Drosophila melanogaster: one gene and its partners. The protein of the gene in region 1 interacts with the protein of each later gene in a pairwise test. Each region holds a gene or a part of one and is shown in the gene's direction. Other genes may lie near its edges. The genes, in order: CG9083, CG3713, CG13084 and Hip1.

Region 1 (3,469 bases):
CCATTGAAAGATGCTCTGATGGCACTGGAGTGCAGCCCATTTGCTCCAGCTCAGCGGCTTCCAGTTCGAACTTCATTCGGCACAGCATCGTGATTATGACCGGCGATGTGGCTTTATTGGCAACAGATTATTGCGTCGGTGTCCCGCTTGCTGCTCCCAGCTAGTTCCTTATGTAAGCCCGCTTTGTTTACAATCCGAAACAGTTTAAATGTATATTAATTATTCGGCAGTGATGGAATCTGCCGAGCGAGCAGTCAGCTGCCTAGCTCCGTAGCTGCCAGATGAGAAATGATAATCAGCGACGTAATCGAAATGGCCGGATGGCCCCGATTCGCTGGCTCGGCCCAAGTCACTCACTGCTAATGAAAACAGTGGCTAATCAACGGCGAAAGCATGGCGGCGGGGGTTGTTGGGGCGTCCAGATTGGTGGGTGGGTGAGTTGGAGGTGTTGGGTGGCCAGTGGCCATGACCTCTCTCCGCTGCCAGTCGGACATCTTGCTGATGTAAGCGCGAACAAAACCCACGGCGCGTTGCCTTTTGCCCATGTTGCAGCGCGGGGGCATGACAAGATATTTTTGATGTTGCTGCAGGCGAGGCTTAACCCAATAGCGCTCGAGAGCCTCTCGCCAAACGGCGACCTGACCTGGCCCAATCCAAAGAACAGTAACTGGCTCCTTCCCTGCCTCACAGCCGCGGCACCACTGCTTCGCGTTGGTAAACAAAATTATATTGATAATTTCCGGCACTGGTACGGCCATCAATGGGTTAATGACTAGCGACAGTGAGCAGCCAGCGGGCAGCAGCCAACCCGGCCAACCCTTGGCCAATCGTTATGCAAGTCTGGACCAACAATAAGGAATTGCCAATAGGAAGTTCGTCGTATCTACATAAAAATCCATAAACATGAACGTCAACAAAATACCTAACGGTTAACAACCAGCATCGGCGATGTGATAAAGTAGCAATAGCAACGAGCTCTGGGCCAAAACTGGAACTGGTCAAGTTGCATATTACCACAGTTTGAGTTTCGGTTTTAGCTATTTTCGGCCGCCAGCCCACGAAGCTTAGGGCCACTCAGATTTTCTCTCGAAAGAAAGTAGAGCACAGAAGCGAATGCTCCTCGAGAGAGTGTGTTAGTGCACTGGGAGAATCCGTGTATTACAATTACAAAATAAAAGTCTTAGATTTAGAAAAACATTTTTATGCAGTATCCAAGCTGCTTTCGTAAAATATGATTTTCTTACGTAAATATAGCAAAAGGAATTTAAGATATCTTTTAGCGATCTTAAATTGGTCTACGAAACCGGTTTTGTTTATCATGTAAAATATTGAAAATGGAAAACCAAAGATGATTGATACACTTAAGTTGGCATCACACCATGGGATTTAAAATAATTTTGAGTCACAGACCCTTTTTTACGTTATCCGTGTGGTATTGCAATTGGGCACATGCTGGGGATGATGATGTGAAAGGTCAACACTCTCGCGATCTTCAGAAAGGGAGAGTGAAGACTGGATGGCCGAGAAGAAGACGAAGACGAAGACGCGGCCAGTTGGCCTTCAATGGGTCGCGGTCGTGAAGTCTCCAGTGGTCTGGCTCCACTTCATTCAGCTCGTCGTCGGCGAAAGAGATTATCTCTGCACTTGCTCAGCGGCAAGCGATCGCTTATATAACCGCATGGCTCCCGAGTGGAGAAGAGGGCTATAAAACGGCGTGTGCCCATGTTTGCCGAATCATTTCCAGTCGGTCCAGAGGCGAGCAATCATTCGAGAGTCCTTCGTAACGAATCCAGAGAAATGGCAGCCCGTTTCATAGTGAGTTTGGCACGACACCACGTCAGTTCAGGTGGATCCTAACACAGATTCCCTCCTCCCACTCCCAGATCAGTGCGCTTCTGCTGGCTAGCCCAGCGGTATGGGGAAAGCCCACCTTCGGACGAGAGCATGTCCACATCCGTATTCACCTGCCAGAGAGCGGTGGGGATCACGGCGGCCACGGAGGCGGTGATTTTGGCGGCCACGGAGGCGGTGATTTTGGCGGCCATGGAGGTGGAGGCTATGAGATTCACTCCCACGATGGCGGATACAGCGGCGGTGGAGGAGGCGGTGGTCATGTGAACACCTATGCTGTTATCACCGAGAACCACGGATACAGTTCCGGGGGTGGCGGAGGCGGTGGAGGTGGCCACGGATACAGCTCCGGCGGATATAGTTCCGGTCATGATGATGCCAAGATTGCTGCCATCGCTGCTGCTGCTGGCTCGTCCTCCGATCACGGACATGGCGGACATGGAGGCAGCGGCGGACACGGCGGAGGTTATGGTGGCCATGCCATCGCCAACATTGCAGCCATCGCCGCCAGCTCAGACTCCTCTGATCATGGTGGCAGCGGAGGATACGGCGGCTACAGCGGTGGCGGTCACAGCGGAGGAGGTCATGACACCCAGGTGATTGTGGCTGCTGCTGCGGCTGGAGATTCACATGGCTCTTCCGGCGGATACGGCGGCGGATCCTCCGGTGGATACAGTGGTGGCTCCTCCGGGGGCTACGATGGTGGATATTCTGGTGGATCCTCTTACAGCGGAGCCTCCTCCTACAGCAGCGGCTCGTCCTACAGCTCTGGAGGATACAGCAGTGGACATGGCGGTGGCTATAGCAGTGGCGGCGGATCCAGCTATGATACACAAGTGGTGGCTGCAGCCGCTGCTTCAGGCAGCGGTGGCTCCTACGGCGGGTCTTCCGGCGGCGGTGGCGACGGATACAGCTACTCAGCGCCGGCCTCAGGCGGCTGGGCAGGATCCAGTTCAAACTGGAAGTAGACGGCAATGTCCGTCGTTGGCCATCTGGTCGTCTAGTCTACTGTTCACGTTTAACTTATATTTGACATGTTCGCTCATCCATATTCCACACATTCTCCCAAGATACTGGTGTACAAAATAAACCATGTTAGTGTAATAATTTAAGCCAGCCGCCCAGTATGTGATTTACCTAATGCTTGCCCAGTTTTTGCCGATTTTTCTCCGCCTCTTTCATCGGAGCTATATAGTGGCGCTTAAACATGTCATAGATGGAGAAGTACACGGCACTCATCAGTCCTGCCTTGAGTAGAGTAGGCAACATTCCCTTATAGAAGCCTCCGATTCCTTCCTCCCGAAACGTGGTGGTGATGCAGCCCAGGATCGTAGGGCACTCGGGGTTGCGACCAAAGGTCTTACGTTCCTGTTTGAAGGCCATCAGCTGGATGCGCTTTTTAAGCAGGTCCGCCGGGTACACGATCATCTTGGCCAACACCCCTGACAGCGCCCCATTGAGAAACAGAAATGCGCCGTGGATTTCCTGGCGCTGGTCGGGAGGCTTGGCCATCAAGACAGCCGCGTTGAGGTACTTGTAGAAGAGAAAGTTTGCCCCTACCAGCGGAAACACCTGCACAAGCGTGAAGGGTAGTCCTCGGGAAAGTCCCATCCACCCC
Region 2 (3,534 bases), on another chromosome or scaffold:
GTCAATTTCGATGGCGACCGAGAGCAAGAACTTTGCCGCTCTAAGCTGAGCTGCCTTCGACTTTGCCTAGCTGCTAATTAGTTCAGCCAGGCGGGGATGCTGCAAGTGCCGGCGCAGGTGCAGCAGTCGCCCTTGGCACATTAGACGTAATGAGAAGTCGTCGGCAGCAGTGGTAAAACGCCCCTCTAATGGCTCCGCAGGCAAAACACTTGCAAAGGAAGCTCAAAATTGTATTATTATTACTTTCGCGTGAAACTGTGGAAATAGGCGCTGTGCTGCTTGTACTCCCATTTGGGTTTAAGGTGGAGTAATGGGTATCTGATAGTCGGGGAACTCGACTCCAGCGTTCTCTGTTGGAAAATGGGCCTTTTGCTAAGACATTAAGCATACGCAGAGTAACAAAAACATGTAGTCCTTGCTGGACCTGATTTTTCTCACTGCATGCATGTGGGGGATAGGTTAAAGAGAAAATGGAAATTGCGGGAATGGGAATGGTGAATGGTGAATGGGAGAGGGGAAACGCGCAGTGCAGTGCCGTGGGGCAAACTCAATGCCGGCCCAGGCCTCCCATGTGTGTTTGTGGCAAGTTAATGACACACCTTAACCCATGTTAACCTAGTTTTTCATGTTGTGGTTATTCTTGTCGTGCTTGTTCTTCTTTCCACTTGACCCAAAGCCCAAAAAAAAAAAAGGAGAGTGGTGTGGAGAGGATGTCGGTGCGTATGGGCCTGGCCTTCATGCGGTTGACATGAATTTGACTGTGGCATGATTGGCCTACTTTCTGTCTTTTGCTTGCGCTCTAGGCTTTTTCGCATAAATAAGCTATTTGTGACCAATTTGCATTTTCCGCGTTATATTTCTTAACTGACACAATAAAAAGTTCGAAAGGCGAATGACGGCAGAATAGGAAGAGCTATAGCAAAATCCAACATATAAACAAACAATGCCCAAAGGGCAGCATAGATCTAGGGTAAGATCAGCATAAGAAAAAAATGGAAAAATGGACCGAGTGCGTTTAATTAGTCACATTCCGACATCATAATACCTTTAATAAAGCAACCAACTTAATATTAACAAATGGGGACCATAAAGTGTGAAATGTGGAGCGGGAGTCCTCAAAGGACCTGCGGATGGCAAGCAATGGCCTTCATTTATTTTCCTCAGCCGCAGCTGCTGCTTCTTTCTCAGCTTGTTAAGCATAATTAAAATCACAGAGCGGGATGGAGAGAGGCGCAGAGAGCCAGGGAGGAGAGGGACAGAGCTAGTGAGTAAGTGTGATTAAAAGATTGCAAATTTCTCACTCTTATTCATTTTTTTTAAGCTCTTCTTTCTGGCCAAATTGAATTTTTCGTTGCAGCAGACAGCGAGTGAGTGAGTAGGACAGAGCAGAAATGCATTGAACTGATCAGGGTAGTAACAGCACCATGTAGAATCGAAACTTTATTCACGTTAAATCCCCAATTATGTTGGTCTAAATAATGCTTGGTATTAAATAGTAGTATTCCCTGCAGAGGGCTCAAAAGTGTTTTTTTTTTTTGTTTTTGTGGAACGGAAGCCACCTCGCAATTCGACTTTAATGAGTAAACAGGGCGTGCAGACGCTATGCAAATGCTTTAGTCCCATTGAATTTGATGGCCGCGCATAAATGTAATTATAATGTGCATTCTATACAGCAACAAACATAAATGCATAAGTGCATAAATGCGCGCGCGTGTGTGTGTGGACAGTGGATTACGTAATGCCGATGCAGTGAATACGATATAATGTGCTATGCATAATGCATGATCGCACTCCTTAATCAACGCCAAACAAGCGACATTTAATTTTAATTTTAATTAATTTTGTCATTTGCTTTTTACACCGATGACGATGGATTTACCGGAAAACGAGCGAGTCTGTAATCCATCCATTTTCGAATTCTGCTGTGGACGCAGCTGTGCTGTGGATTGTGGGGCGTGGGGCTTGGAGCGCGGATTTGTGAACGCGTGGATGCCTGGGGCTGTAGAAGTAGTAGGGTAGTATAGTAGTAGGTGGGCCTCCGATATCGTCAGTGCTGCGAAATCAGCTGTCGGGCGAGCACCGCATAATCAGAGGTGGGGATGTTTCTGGGCTTCTTGGTGGATCTGCTGTACTGCCGACGCTGCGGGGACGACTGTATGATGGAATTCCCATCGACTTCCGCGAATGAAGAAGCAGCGCCGAAAGTGGTAAAGGTCGAACTGCCGCCGCTGCCGCCACTGACCTTTGAACTCATCCGCAATCCATTGGCTGCCGACCAGGAGTGCGATGATAGCTTCGAAGGCTTCGTCGATGGTTATGATGATCCCAGGCTGCCGGAAACCATCATCTGATTCAAAAAAAGCTTGCCACTCACTGGCATTCCGCACTCCGCTTCATTTGGTTTAATTAAAACTCTTTTTGCCATAATCCAATTAAGACCAAAGGCAAAAACCAAATGACAACAAATGGCATAATGGCCAGACAACAAAACAGACGGCAAAAAATAGAAAAACTCGACAAACTCAAACAAAGCTCCGCACAAAGCAAAAAAAAAAAAACTGAACAAAACAAAATGCAAACAAACAATGCAATAAAATTCAATTACAACAAAATTTTAATTAACTTTTTGCAATCAAAACACAAACCAAATGAGGAGACAACTGGCATCCGAATTGAAAGCCAATAAAAATGGGCGTAATAACCTAACCAATCTACAGGTCATCGATGGACAGGAGAGGGTTAAACGAATCTGACAAAGGCTGTGTACGTTAGCTTCAAATGGGATAGGATTACTTGAGTGTATCATGTTATGTGTGCAAAAGTTTAAAAATGTATATGCACGCACATATGGTAAATGTTTGGATTCGATTGGGAGCACCAAAGAACCAGGCACAGTTTTCCAAACAATAGAAACTACTCGTAGTCGTGTGCCAACTATCGGATACCTTATAGTCTGTATTAAAGTTTGTTATTGACTTATTTACTCTACGAGTACTGATGGAAATGAGTATAAATATGAAAATATTGTTTGTAAACTGTTAAAATGTTTTATTTCGTTTTGTGGGGCGGTAGGTCGCATTACGTATACGACGCGCAGACCACAGAGTAATACGTTTCTAAAGCAAGTTTGCAGTTGCACTGTTTCATTGTTGACCTATCAATTGGGCTCTTCTTCCGGTCGTAGCATACAGTCAGTGTGAACTCGTTTCTTCCAAAGCAATTCCGAGTCGGATAAGACACAGCTACTGCAGCCCATCAAGATCTGCTTCCATGCTCCTTGCAGCATTGTCCACCCACCCTTTAAGACCTCCTATATATTCACATCTGTATCGCAATCGCGAGAAAGACAACTTTTAGTGCGACATTCGCTGGAAACTTTCAGCAGAGCGGCAAACGACACCTAAACCGACTAATGGGCAAAGTCACCTCCTTTGGCAGTAGTGGCTTCGGGGGTTTACTTCACCCATTGTGAGCCATTTGTTTGCTGGAATTGCATTCGTGGCTGCGAAATAACATTTTCCGTTTCCGTTCTTG
Region 3 (4,137 bases), on another chromosome or scaffold:
CTTAACTTTAAATTAAACTGTACATTTTTTAATTAAAATTGTCCCATAAAATAATAATTAATGCTCTTAGGAGACACCGTCGTGATAATTTGATGGCCAGCTAAAGCCGCTTAAAATAATTTCAAAACACCAATTTGTGACTGCCCCATTTCAGGATTCACATTTAGCATCTTATCAGAGCTTAGCAGCTGGGGTCACCACCCGTCCAGCTACGGAATGTGATTACAGCTTTTGGCGCTCCGCCTGAAATTTCAGCGGTTTCAAGTGTCCATTTGGCGGCGCAATATTTAACTCCAAGTTTCGAACACCAGGACCATAGGTATAGCGATGCAGATGCTTTGAACGAGCCCTAAACTCTTCTTCTGATCCCGGAAAACTGATTATTTCGTGAACCAAGTGAGGTTCGGGAACATAGAAGTCATCGCCTAAGGTAAATGATTATTTAAAAAAAATGATTTGGATATTACACTGAATATTCCTTTAACATACCAGGTAAGACGAAAACCATAGAGCCCTGGCAGTTATAACCAATCGGCAAGAACATGGTCGTTCCCAATCCGCTGCGCTTGATGGCAAATTCCAACAGGGATTGATACGCCTTAATTCCCATCAACCGGGACAATTCGTAGACCTGTGGTGGCATGAACCAAACATTGCCCAAATCAGCCAGTCGCAGCAGTTCAACGGGTGTCAGCCACTATATACATAAATAACTCGTTTATTGTGAATTTGGGGTTTAAAAGATAAACCTTACCAGCGTTTCCTTGACCTCGGAAGGTTCTTCCAGCAATTCGGGCTGCTTGTCCACAAAAGCCATGAAGAAAACGGTTTCATGCCTATTAAGTGTAATATAATCTATATTAGAACCAAGAACTTTACCATACTTTTTTTAGATTACTAAGCAAAGAAATTAAGCTTTCATTTATGATTTTTTTGTGACCCCATACCCACCCTTTGCGTATGAATCCTGGACTCGCCCAGGCAGACCACTCATGCAGAGCCCACAAATCTGGAACTACATTTAGCTCGCGGCAGAGAGTTAGAAACTCAGCCGGCTTGTTGTGCACCCTTCGCTGCCACGACTCCAGGTCTGGAACAGCCTGAGCGCAAGTTACCGCACCAAAATCCAGTTGACTCCGACTCCGGCAAAGCAACAGACCCACCTCTTCAAAGCATTCCCTCACGGCGGTTAGTCGCAGCGTAATCTCCCTAAAAAGACAAAGGTCATAGATTAAACTCCCAATGTGACAGAGTTTAGCGCAACCTTTGGACTCACCGAGCCCAAATGCGGGAACGCTTAAAGAACCGATCGTAGCAGCCAGTGCCCTGGGGCGCCAGAATGGCAGGACGATCTTCGCGGATGAGAACCAGGCGGCGTAGTGCCTCTTGTGGAACACCAAACTCCTCGAGGTAGTGCAGCCAGGCGACGCTTTCATCGGCCCCAGAGTCCAAGAGGCCACCGGGAAATACAGTCTGATTGAGCGCAATCGCCGTGGCATCACTGCGTTTTAGCATAAGCACCTGAAAGGTCAGGATTATGGTTATCCGCTTTTGGAAATGGCCTCTTCACTTTCCTTGTAATCTTTGTTATTGCCATCATCTCTGGACACCAGGATTACACTGGCCGAGGTGCGCCACTTGGTAGGAGATGCAGGTTGGCTCATATCTGCTTTTATTTAGCCAAATGAGTAGCAAAACTGTTTAGTTCCATCCACAAAGAAAACGAAATCAAAAGGTTGTTTTGTTCCCTCCAATCAGCTGATTGGTCGATAGGCACGATAACGACTCCTGTGCAAAAAAAAATCGATCGATAGCCGCCTAATCAAAGCGCTGAATATTTGAAGTTTGAATTCGTGCGAAATTCAAACTTTACCTTTTTGGTCAGATTACCATGCAGAAGCGAGCACGAAGAGCAAAAAACCCAAATAGATTAGTTCCAATCCACACGTGTTCGCAAACATATTTAAGCTCTGCCCTTGGACAACAAAAGACACTTGCAATTGGTGTTTCCAGTCGAAAACAACTTGCAGTTGAAATGAAAGTACTGATCACGTTCTTCTTTCTGGGCGCCTGCCTCTGCGGCATCCAAGCGGATGAGAGCATCGCTGACCTCTTGAAGGACAATGCGAAGGGCGTACAGGCAGCCAATGTGCTCCTGACCCGGATTGCCCAAGTAAGCGAGCAGACTCAGGTCGGTTTGGCAGAGCAAAAGGAGGCACTGAAGGCCCTGACGCTCGTGGAGAAGCTGCTAGCCAAGTTGACTGTCGTTCTGGAGGTTGGCTCCCACAATCTGGTGGCCACCCTTGAGAACCTCTCTAGGCAGGGCGAGGAATACGGCAATCGAACGGAGTCAGAGCTCCTGGAATTGGTGCGTCTGCAGGAGGGCACCAAGGAGATACTCAATGTCCTGGAGGCCAAGCTGGATGCCTATCAGAGGCACGTGCTCCATAGTTCCCGCAACATTGACAACAGCATCGACGGACTGGCCAAACTTATTACTAGGACGGTGTTGCCACAATTGAATGGGCTAAAGTGTACCTTCGATAGCTTGGAGACGTCCCAAATCAACGTGGAGGTGGAGCTGAAGAACTTGGCCGGAGTCAAGGAGCTCAGCGAGAACTCCAACTTCAAGCTGAACGTGCTGGAGCATCAATTGAAGCAGCTGAATCGCACTCAGGAGCAGCGCTTGGACATCCTAATCGATGCAGTCAAGCATTTGCAGCCCCACAGTTCCTGGAAAGTGGAGGCTGTTCTCCGCGAACTGATCATCTCGCAGAAACGCATCGAACTGGGTCTGGAAGAGTGCAGCCGACAACAGCCCTATCCGCAATATGGCCATCACGACGAGTCCTATCTTCCCACCTACGGAGCTGAGGTCCCAGAGCCGCAGCATGCTCATCCTAAGCCCAAGCAAGTGGATCTGGAACAGGTGTGGAGCATCAAGGAGGAGCCCAAGCACGGTAAGTGGTCCTTATTGCCACCAGATTAGGATCACAAATTAATGGCTTGTCGTTCATAGGAGAGCACTCTGGAAACCACAAAGCTACCGCCTATGCCCAGTCCCCCGAGCCAAAGAAGAACTATCAGAGCTCCAGCGCCGTGTCCTGGCGGCAGACGGTGCCGTGGGAGTACGGATCCCCATACCAGTCCGCTCCAGTTCACCACCATCAGCCATGGAACCCAGCTCCGGCCCACGTTCCCACCTCCGTTACCAAGCCCAAGCCGTGCCCCAAGAAAGAGCACCCTACTCCGGCATCCTATGTTCCTTTGCCACATGACCAGCCTGAATCCTACAAGCTTCCTGTGGATTACAGTCCCAAACCTAACCACGAGCAACCTCATAAGCCCCACCACGAGCCACAGTCTTACAATGAGGAGATCTACAAGCCACAGCCCATCCAGCCAGGAGAATCCTTCAGGATTTGGTATGGAGACAGTTCCCTCCCCCAAGGATACTAAAGGAAGATTTAACTGGGACTACCACTGTTACTGAAACTGATACAACTTTTCAAAGCATTTAACAAACTCTTTTTTTTTAATTCAGATTCATTACTTTGTACAATTTTTATGTTTTATAAATAAATAAAAAAAAAGCAAAGGAAATACATTTTTGATTATATTCCTAGCAAGTAATTAATAAATAACTTTTGAGAAAAAATGCTATAGTTTCATGGAAATCATATGCATCAACTTTTAGCATCGTATGCGAAAATATACATTCAATTTCCAAAAACTTTTCTCAAAATCTATTCAAAATATACGAAGAAATTTTTGTTATTTTGTATGTTTTGTAGGTAAATAAATTCACCTTACTATTAACCTATGCTATTGTTTGTTGATAGAAGCAAATTTTAAAAATATTTTAAGCTTTTTTAAAAGTTAATAGTAAAGGATCCAAGTTTGTTTAAATTTGCAAAAGGCATCTTGGCCAATTTTTGAATAGGCATGATAATATGAAGGATAATTAATTATACTGCTGTTTTCGAAATAGGAAACAAAATATAGACTTATTAAACTTTTACAAAATTACTTTAGTTCGCTTTATTACTTTATTTCTTGTAAACGATAGACAGTATGCCCGAAAACATTTGTTACGTTATCATTACCTTCGAAGACCTATTTTCTGAATGAATTTGA
Region 4 (7,617 bases), on another chromosome or scaffold:
CACTGAAGAATTGGGCATTTCCCAGCCAAAACAATTGTGAGTGTTCTTCTTTTCCGACAATTATGATCTCTTACTTTTAATCCAAACATATTTCAGGAGGAAATTTGGTCTAAACTTCACCAGACTCAATACCAATCAATTTCAAATGGCACCAGCGACTACAAGACACGTTCGACTACAAACCCAGAAAACAAAAAGGACGAAGAATCGAAACTGCAATTCTTCTGTTGGCCAAATGAACGGTGTATTTGTTCTAGCTTCTTCGCCATCTACTAGAACGAATACAGCAGAGCAATCTATTGAAAGGAGAAATAGGAATCTGCAGAATCATCCAGGCGTTTCTGATTCTTTGAGTAACAATCCACCATCCTCAGAAAATAGACGAAAAGCCCCATCCCAAACATCTTACCCAGTACTTAGACGTATTCAAAGAAATGATTCAAACAATTCGCAAGGCGGAAGATTCATTTCGGCCAGCAGCCAATATCCTGACCAGCACAGACAAGATGAATACCTAGCTTGTGATAGAAATAATAGTGACCAAAGCCATCGCGATAGTCATCAAAACGAGGACGGGTCGCATAATTCAGCTATGGTTGGAGCTTCTGGGTATTCTACTGACTTAACTTGGACAGATCCACCTCCGAACTCCCAATTACTAGCTCCCAATACATCGACTGACGTGGAAACACTGGAAACGGTAACCCTAATGCAACCTCGAAAACTTCGTAGTTGTGAAAGTGCTGGGATCAGAAACCAGGCAAATATCAATGGGAACACCGTTCTTATAGAGACAAGAACTCCCTGTAACAGGGAAATTCTACTCCAGACCTGTGGACGACCGCCCTGTAACTCGTGTCCTTATCAATACACGGGTCTTCCTCCGAGTCTCCATCAAGGATTTACGAAGCCACCGGATCATATGCTACAACCGCAGATCTCTGTGAGTGCTCCACAAAATGTCACTCCTTTCGATGAAGGGTACCTTATAGATCCGCGGGATCAGTGGATGCCCACTAAGTCACCAGCTTCAGCACCAGCCGTGCAGCATCAATTTCAAATGAAGGAACAATGTCAGCCGGATCATGGATCCTATCATCATTTTCAGGAATCTGTACATACTTCAGACCCAAGTTCCTCTCAGGCCAGAAACCCTGACTACAATCCTCAACTAAAAGAGAACATTCGAATGCTTCCAGATGGATTCTATGAACGCACCGTGAATAAGTATAATATAACACGCATGGATTCCAACTTCCAGCCACCGGAATTTTCACTGCAGCCAAATTTTGTTCACGGAGAACAGCATCCTACTTTCAGACACCACGCTTGTCCTTATAGCAATCAATATCATCATCCGCAACTGATGATGACATCCGTTCCAGATCCCAATCGACGTTACATTCCACCACAAAACCAATACCCAGCCGAGATGTTTTGGCCACAGCAAAATGTACATTTGGATTACTATGATCAATCGGAATACCAAATTTAATCCAAACAGTTGGAAGAATACATTAAATTAAAATTACTTTAAAAACAAATTAAAATTGTCGTTCTTTTATTTAAAGTAAAAATATGGTAGCAGATCTATAAATATCGAACAAAATCTATCTTTTTAGAAAATCAGTACACAAAAATTTCAAAAACACATTCTAAAGCTTTTTTTTAAACCATCGTATAAAATCAAATTAAATTAAATTTTTAACTTAACTGAAGTTTTATTGAAAGCGTTCGATGTTATAATTTAAATATTGGTTCATTTAAGTGTATTTCAATTCAAATATCCTTCGATTTAATGGAAAAAAATAAAAATTTGCAAAACATTTTTTTTCGCGCTCAAAATGGTGATGCAAGAAGTTGATGACTATCGAAACGAATCGATAGGGTAAAGCCCGCATATCGGAACACCGCCCAGCTCTATTAACTTTTATCGATAAAGGAAAACAACATTTGTTTATATGACTAATTTACTCTTACACTCATTGTTTCATACACGCACACGATCGGAATCCGAATGAATACGAACGCGACCAATACGAAAACAATGGCCAACATTGTTGATAAGATAAGATAACTCCCGTTTCCAATGTCTTTGCTGTCTTTGCTCTAATGCACATATATCGCGCTGCGAATGATTCGAATTTGTTCAGCAAGTACGCCAAGAATTGTCAGTAAACAATGGCAACTCACGCCGAAAAGGAGTTCTACCACCTGGTACGTAAGCCCAAAGGAAAGCCAAGAAAACCGCCAAGAATACCCACAGCAGATTATAGGCACACGGATGTTGTCATATCATGTGCATAGTGTAAATACCTAAATGTTTATGCACACAACTACAGGCGCGCCGCTCAAATATGCATAAACATTTCACTTAAGAAGTCAGCCTTGAACCAGATTATATGGAACAGCTCGAAATATCATCAGCTTTTCACACGACTTGCAACACCACAGAGACTACACTACATGCTAATCCCAAGTTTCTCCGCTTCGGATGACCCAGAAAATTAGAAACTGCAATGAATGCTATGCGGACTACATCCACTTTGATCAATTGTTCAATGTGCACACAAAGGCCTTTCAAATTTTTTGATTATCAACCCAAATTCGGCACGATAAGAAGTGAAATCCAGTATTTAGATTACCTTCTGTTATCATAAATTCATATCAAACACATGGTGTAGGTGTTTGGAATCTTATTTTTAAAAGCATCGAAATGTTTGCACTTCCAAACTAAATAGTCGATCAGTGAGTCACCCCCTTTAGATCGAATTCCACTAAAAAGTATAAAACTATAGATATCGTCCGCCAAAATCCGTCCATATCTTATAAGCTGAGTCAGTCACTTCTTCGAAAGTGTACAACAATAAAAAGCCATTTAAACTATAATATTTACATTTCATTTCAGAACGTCAGCGTGTCCAAAGCTTTAAATGGCCTGGAAGCGCCACTCAAAACCAAACATGCCCGCTCCATTATTATTATGATACACAAGGCCAAAGAGGCCAAAACATTCTGGATGATCATCTCCCGGCAGCCTTTGATGCAGAGTAGATTTACTGCCTGGAAGTTTTCGCATCTGCTGCACAAGGTCCTGCGAGAGGGTCATGAAAGTGCCATCCGCCACTCGCAGAGCCACAAGAAGATGATACTGGAGGTGGGAAAAATGTGGGGCCTGCTGCAGGACGATATTGGATGCTGCATACAGGCGTATAGTAAGCTCTTGGCCACAAAATTAAACTTCCACGACAAAAATCGAATGTTTCCCGGCACCCTGAACATTTCGTTCACGGAACTCTTCATTGCTGTGGATAGGGATTTAAATTATTGGTAAGTAAAAATAGATATATATTACTTTCAAACTACTGAGACAGAACCATTGATTCCAGTTTTCAACTGTGCGTGGAAATTTTCGACTACTTGGAGGATATAATTGCGCTGCAATTGACGATATTTTCATCTATGGAAAAGTACAGAATGTCGTCGATGACACCGCAGGGACAATGTAGATTAGCGCCAATAGTTTGCCTTATCCAGGATTCCAATGCGTTGTACGATTTAAGCGTTCGGTTAATGTTTAAACTACACGATGGTGTACCATACGACGTTGTTTCCGGACACAGAGATCGCTTTCACGGTCTGTTTTTAAAGTTGAAGAGTTTTTACAACAACGTGCGACCGCTTCAGTATTTCAAGGACCTAATAACAATCCCGGAATTGCCGGACTCAAGTCCTAACTTCAAGTCCCAAAACGATTTCACCAGTTATGTACCGCCAGTGGTTCACGTTCCCCAGGAGCCCGATCCGGTTGTTGAAGACCTTGTGGATACCAACAATCACGAGCTGGAAGCCTTCAGTCAAGCCCAGCAGCAGCTTAGCATGTTGGAGGGTATAATCAGCGAGAAAGAGGCTAGCATTGAGGAGCTGTCATTCAAATTGGACGCAATGCAAAAAAATTTCGACGCACTGCAGCAAAGCTACAGACACGACGTTCAGGAGTTGCAACAGAACAATACTGTGCTGTCAAATGATCTGGTCTTGGCGAGAGAAATGTGTGCCACCTTTCGGATGCAAAATGACGATCTTGAGATGCAACTGAATCAGAACCCAATTCTTTTACGTAATTAAATGCTTATTAAACATAATGAAGTCATATAAAAATACCTTGTATTTCAGAAAAAGCTATGGAGGAAGAAGAAAAGCACAAGTTGTCGTCGGAAAAGTTTAATAAACTTAAAACTCTATACACAAAGATTCGAGATGAGCACATTCAGCTGCTGAGAGAGGTATGCAGAAACACAATATTTTCTATTTCCTATACTAATATTCATTCATATACTTTTATATCAGCAAAGTGATTGCAACAAGTCCTTAAATAAAGAGAAACAAGTAAACTCACAACTATTGTTGGAAACTAAGGAGCTTACCAATGAAATTTCCAAAATTAAAGTAAACGTAGAGGAAAAAGAGAAAACAAACTTGATTCTGCAAAAGCAAATCGAAGAGCACAAGGAGAAAATAGCACATCTTGAAGCAGTCAAAAACGAGATGAAGGAGAAATTCGATGATGTGGTTAAACAAAAGGAAATTCAGGAACTCGATATTATTTCCACTTCCGAAAACCTGAGGCTAAATTGCCTCAAAGTCGAAGAGCTTAATGGAAACCTCAATGACACCCTGGAAAAACTGTCGAACGCCGAAAGCCAAATAAATGCAAAGACCGAGGATATCGAGAAAATGCTAAAAGCTTTTGAAGCGGAAAAGGCATTGCTCTTAACTCAGATTGAACAACAGAGTGTTGAAAGTAAAAGCCATAGTGAAGCTCAAAACGCTCAATTGCAAGAAATAATGGATAACTTGGAACAAAAGGATAAAGAGTTCAATGAAGTTAAGCTTCAGCTGTCCAGCGCAGAAAGCCAAATCAGCTTAAAGGCATTGGAAATTCAAAACAATTTAAAGGCATTTGAAGCGGAAAAATCAGTGCTATTAACTAAAATAGAGCAGTTAGGTATAGAGCATAAAAACAACAGCGAAGCACAAAATGCTCAATTGCAGCTAACTTTAAACAACTTGGAGCAAAATGAGAGTGCATTACAGGTAAATGAAACCAATTTAAATCAAGAAAATTATAGAAACTGCTTTTCTTTCTTCAGCAAACCCAGGAAATTGTGAATCAATTGAGGCAGGAAAATGCTTCAGCGGGTCAGCGTAACGAGGATTTGCAAAGCAAACTCTCGCTTACTGAGGTAAAACTAACCCAAGCAACACAGCAAATTGATGCCGTGACAAGTTCGTACCAAATCTGTAGTACCGATTTGAGTGAACTCAGAAAATTGGTGATCAAGACTGTAAAGGAAATATGCAATTCGAAGTTGAGCGGATCGGAACAACAGCCTTTGGATGCGGTGCCAAACATAATACGCGAAATGGAGACCATTTTAAATAAGTTCAATAACGCATCGGCTATAAACTATGTTGCTTCAACCGAAGGACTGCAAAATGTTATGTATCTGGGTTATGTATTTATAAAACTATACGATCAATGTGATGTTATCTACAAAACAACAACTGCAATTGAGACAGGTCAGGGTAAGTTGATAACACTAAAAACATAACCACCTACAGCAAACTAACTTTGTATTACTTATTTTGCAGAAATTTTCTCAAAAACAAATTTGTTATGTACCGATATCTGTCAATTGTTCCAATACTTATTAAATAATGAAACAAAAGAACCCGAGAGACAGAAAACAATCACTGATATACAAACAAAGCTGAGAGATATTGAAAAGCTGATTGAGAAAATAAAGGCATCATTTGAACAGAAGATTGATTTAGATAAGCTGCTCGAAATCGAGCTTCGCGAGATGGACGCTGCGATTGATGATGCAGCCTCCAAAATTACAGATCTACTGGCAAAGGCTCGAGAGAAGGACAACCAAACCAATTTAGAGGTAAACGGAAAAATAGTGGATGCGTGTACCACCTTGATGGAATGTGTCAAAGCTCTAATCCAAAAATCTCGTCTCCTGCAACACGAAATCGTGGCTTCCCAAAAAGGTAGCTAACAATATTTTTTAATTCAATGAAGTTACTGACAAGTAATTACTCTTTCAGGAAATGCGAGTGCTAATGAGTTTTATAGGCGGAACAGTCAGTGGTCAGATGGTTTGATATCCGCCTCGAAAAGTGTGGCGAAGGCAGCCAACTATCTGGTGGAAGCTGCAAACAAGGCTATTGAAAGTGAATCTGGCAAGAACTTTGAACTCATTGTGGCTGCCCAAGAAATTGCTGCCTGCACGACCCAAATGGTTATTGCGAGCAAAGTCAAGGCTGAACGTAATAGTCAAAAGCTAACCGACCTCACAAAAGCCTCGCGAAGCGTAACGCAGGCAACAGGAACTCTGGTCGCCACCGTGAAGGATTGCAACTCCCAGCTGGAGCAGCAGAGTGAAATAGAACTTTCTAAGCTAACGCCATCACAGATTAAAACGATGGAAATGGAAATTCATGTTAAAGTACTCGAAATCGAACAAGCTCTCCAAATGCAACGACTAAAACTCTCATCGTTTCGTAAGGAGCATTACAAGAATGCCGATTATTAAATACCATATTTATTAATGTTACTAACTTTACAAACATTCTTTTTTGTATTAATGCCCGTCATGACAAATAATATATCTACACAATATTTACACTGCGGTCATTTTATCCTACAATGAATCCGTAATATCTGTTTATAGTATTCCGTGTCGATCGCTTTTTGATCCTTGATTTATATCACACCATAGTATGTGGGTTCATTATTTCTTAAATGTTTATTTTACTTACTACTTGAAATTAAAATAGCACTTATTGCCAAAGAAAATAAAATGTAACATTTGTTGTCAAAAGGTTTTTGTTTATTATCACGAACCGACCTATTGCATTTTATAAAACGGCATGTTCACGTTCATCAAAGACACTTTTAGCGTAGTTTATCTAAAAGAAAAAGACAAGTATGGAATATATGTGATAATCATTTCAAAATTTGTAAAAGTAAATAAATTATATGATAAACAAAGTCTGCGCTTCAACAATAATAGTTTATTATTGAAAGATAATTTCTACTAATTTCTGCTAAGATGATTTCTACTTACGCATCTTGATGCTGCCTCAGCACATTCCTCGGAACGACACCGTATCCTGGGCCTGGTAATCTTTGGAAGATTGGTTGATATCTCGATGTAGTGACTGGCCGACGCCCTGCTGCTCGTGGTTGGCGTTGTGCCGGCATTCGTTACCACTGGATGGCACGAAAGAATCTCACTAACATGACATTCAAACATAATGGTTGGATTGGCGTCGCTTAGTGAAAAGATTCGTACGTATTCTGTAGAAACCAGCAAGCGCAATCTAGCCTCCTTGTCGCTCCATAGATTGGGTTCATATGAAATTATCTTCTCCGAAAAGTTCTTTTGATTGATTAGGTACAGATATTGCTGCCCCTTGCTTTGGCGATTGGAATACAATGGCAAAAGACCACCAGGAGCACCAGTCACACATCTGGGTAGCCTTTTCCTTTCCGGAGCGTTTCTGTGACTATCTCGGCTTGTTTCACGAACGGCACTGGCAGTT

What was found.
Region 2: the proteins of CG9083 (region 1) and CG3713 interact in a two-hybrid assay, tested with the Drosophila melanogaster proteins (one large-scale study listed by BioGRID).
Region 3: the proteins of CG9083 (region 1) and CG13084 interact in a two-hybrid assay, tested with the Drosophila melanogaster proteins (one large-scale study listed by BioGRID).
Region 4: the proteins of CG9083 (region 1) and Hip1 interact in a two-hybrid assay, tested with the Drosophila melanogaster proteins (one large-scale study listed by BioGRID).

Annotation. Positions count from the first base shown.
Region 1 is NT_033778.4:24,896,545-24,900,013, forward strand, and holds CG9083 (uncharacterized protein), read left to right. Parts: upstream 1-1,728; 5' UTR 1,729-1,797; coding exon 1,798-1,815; exon of another isoform or gene 1,816-1,883; coding exon 1,884-2,819; 3' UTR 2,820-2,961; downstream 2,962-3,469. Other genes in the region: Tpc2 (thiamine pyrophosphate carrier protein 2), read right to left, coding at 2,989-3,469.
Region 2 is NC_004354.4:845,669-849,202, reverse strand, and holds CG3713 (uncharacterized protein), read left to right. Parts: upstream 1-2,045; 5' UTR 2,046-2,099; coding exon 2,100-2,351; 3' UTR 2,352-3,032; downstream 3,033-3,534.
Region 3 is NT_033779.5:19,482,938-19,487,074, forward strand, and holds CG13084 (uncharacterized protein), read left to right. Parts: upstream 1-1,992; 5' UTR 1,993-2,035; coding exon 2,036-2,960; intron 2,961-3,019; coding exon 3,020-3,459; 3' UTR 3,460-3,595; downstream 3,596-4,137.
Region 4 is NT_037436.4:12,767,875-12,775,491, reverse strand, and holds Hip1 (huntingtin interacting protein 1), read left to right. Parts: upstream 1-1,918; 5' UTR 1,919-2,181; coding exon 2,182-2,217; intron 2,218-2,272; exon of another isoform or gene 2,273-2,748; intron 2,749-2,908; coding exon 2,909-3,330; intron 3,331-3,389; coding exon 3,390-4,120; intron 4,121-4,176; coding exon 4,177-4,286; intron 4,287-4,350; coding exon 4,351-5,097; intron 5,098-5,153; coding exon 5,154-5,589; intron 5,590-5,655; coding exon 5,656-6,060; intron 6,061-6,117; coding exon 6,118-6,605; 3' UTR 6,606-6,930; coding exon of another isoform or gene 6,931-6,981; 3' UTR 6,982-7,060; downstream 7,061-7,617. Other genes in the region: CG32106 (uncharacterized protein), read left to right, coding at 1-36, 97-1,495; Vps13D (vacuolar protein sorting 13D), read right to left, coding at 6,931-6,981, 7,140-7,617.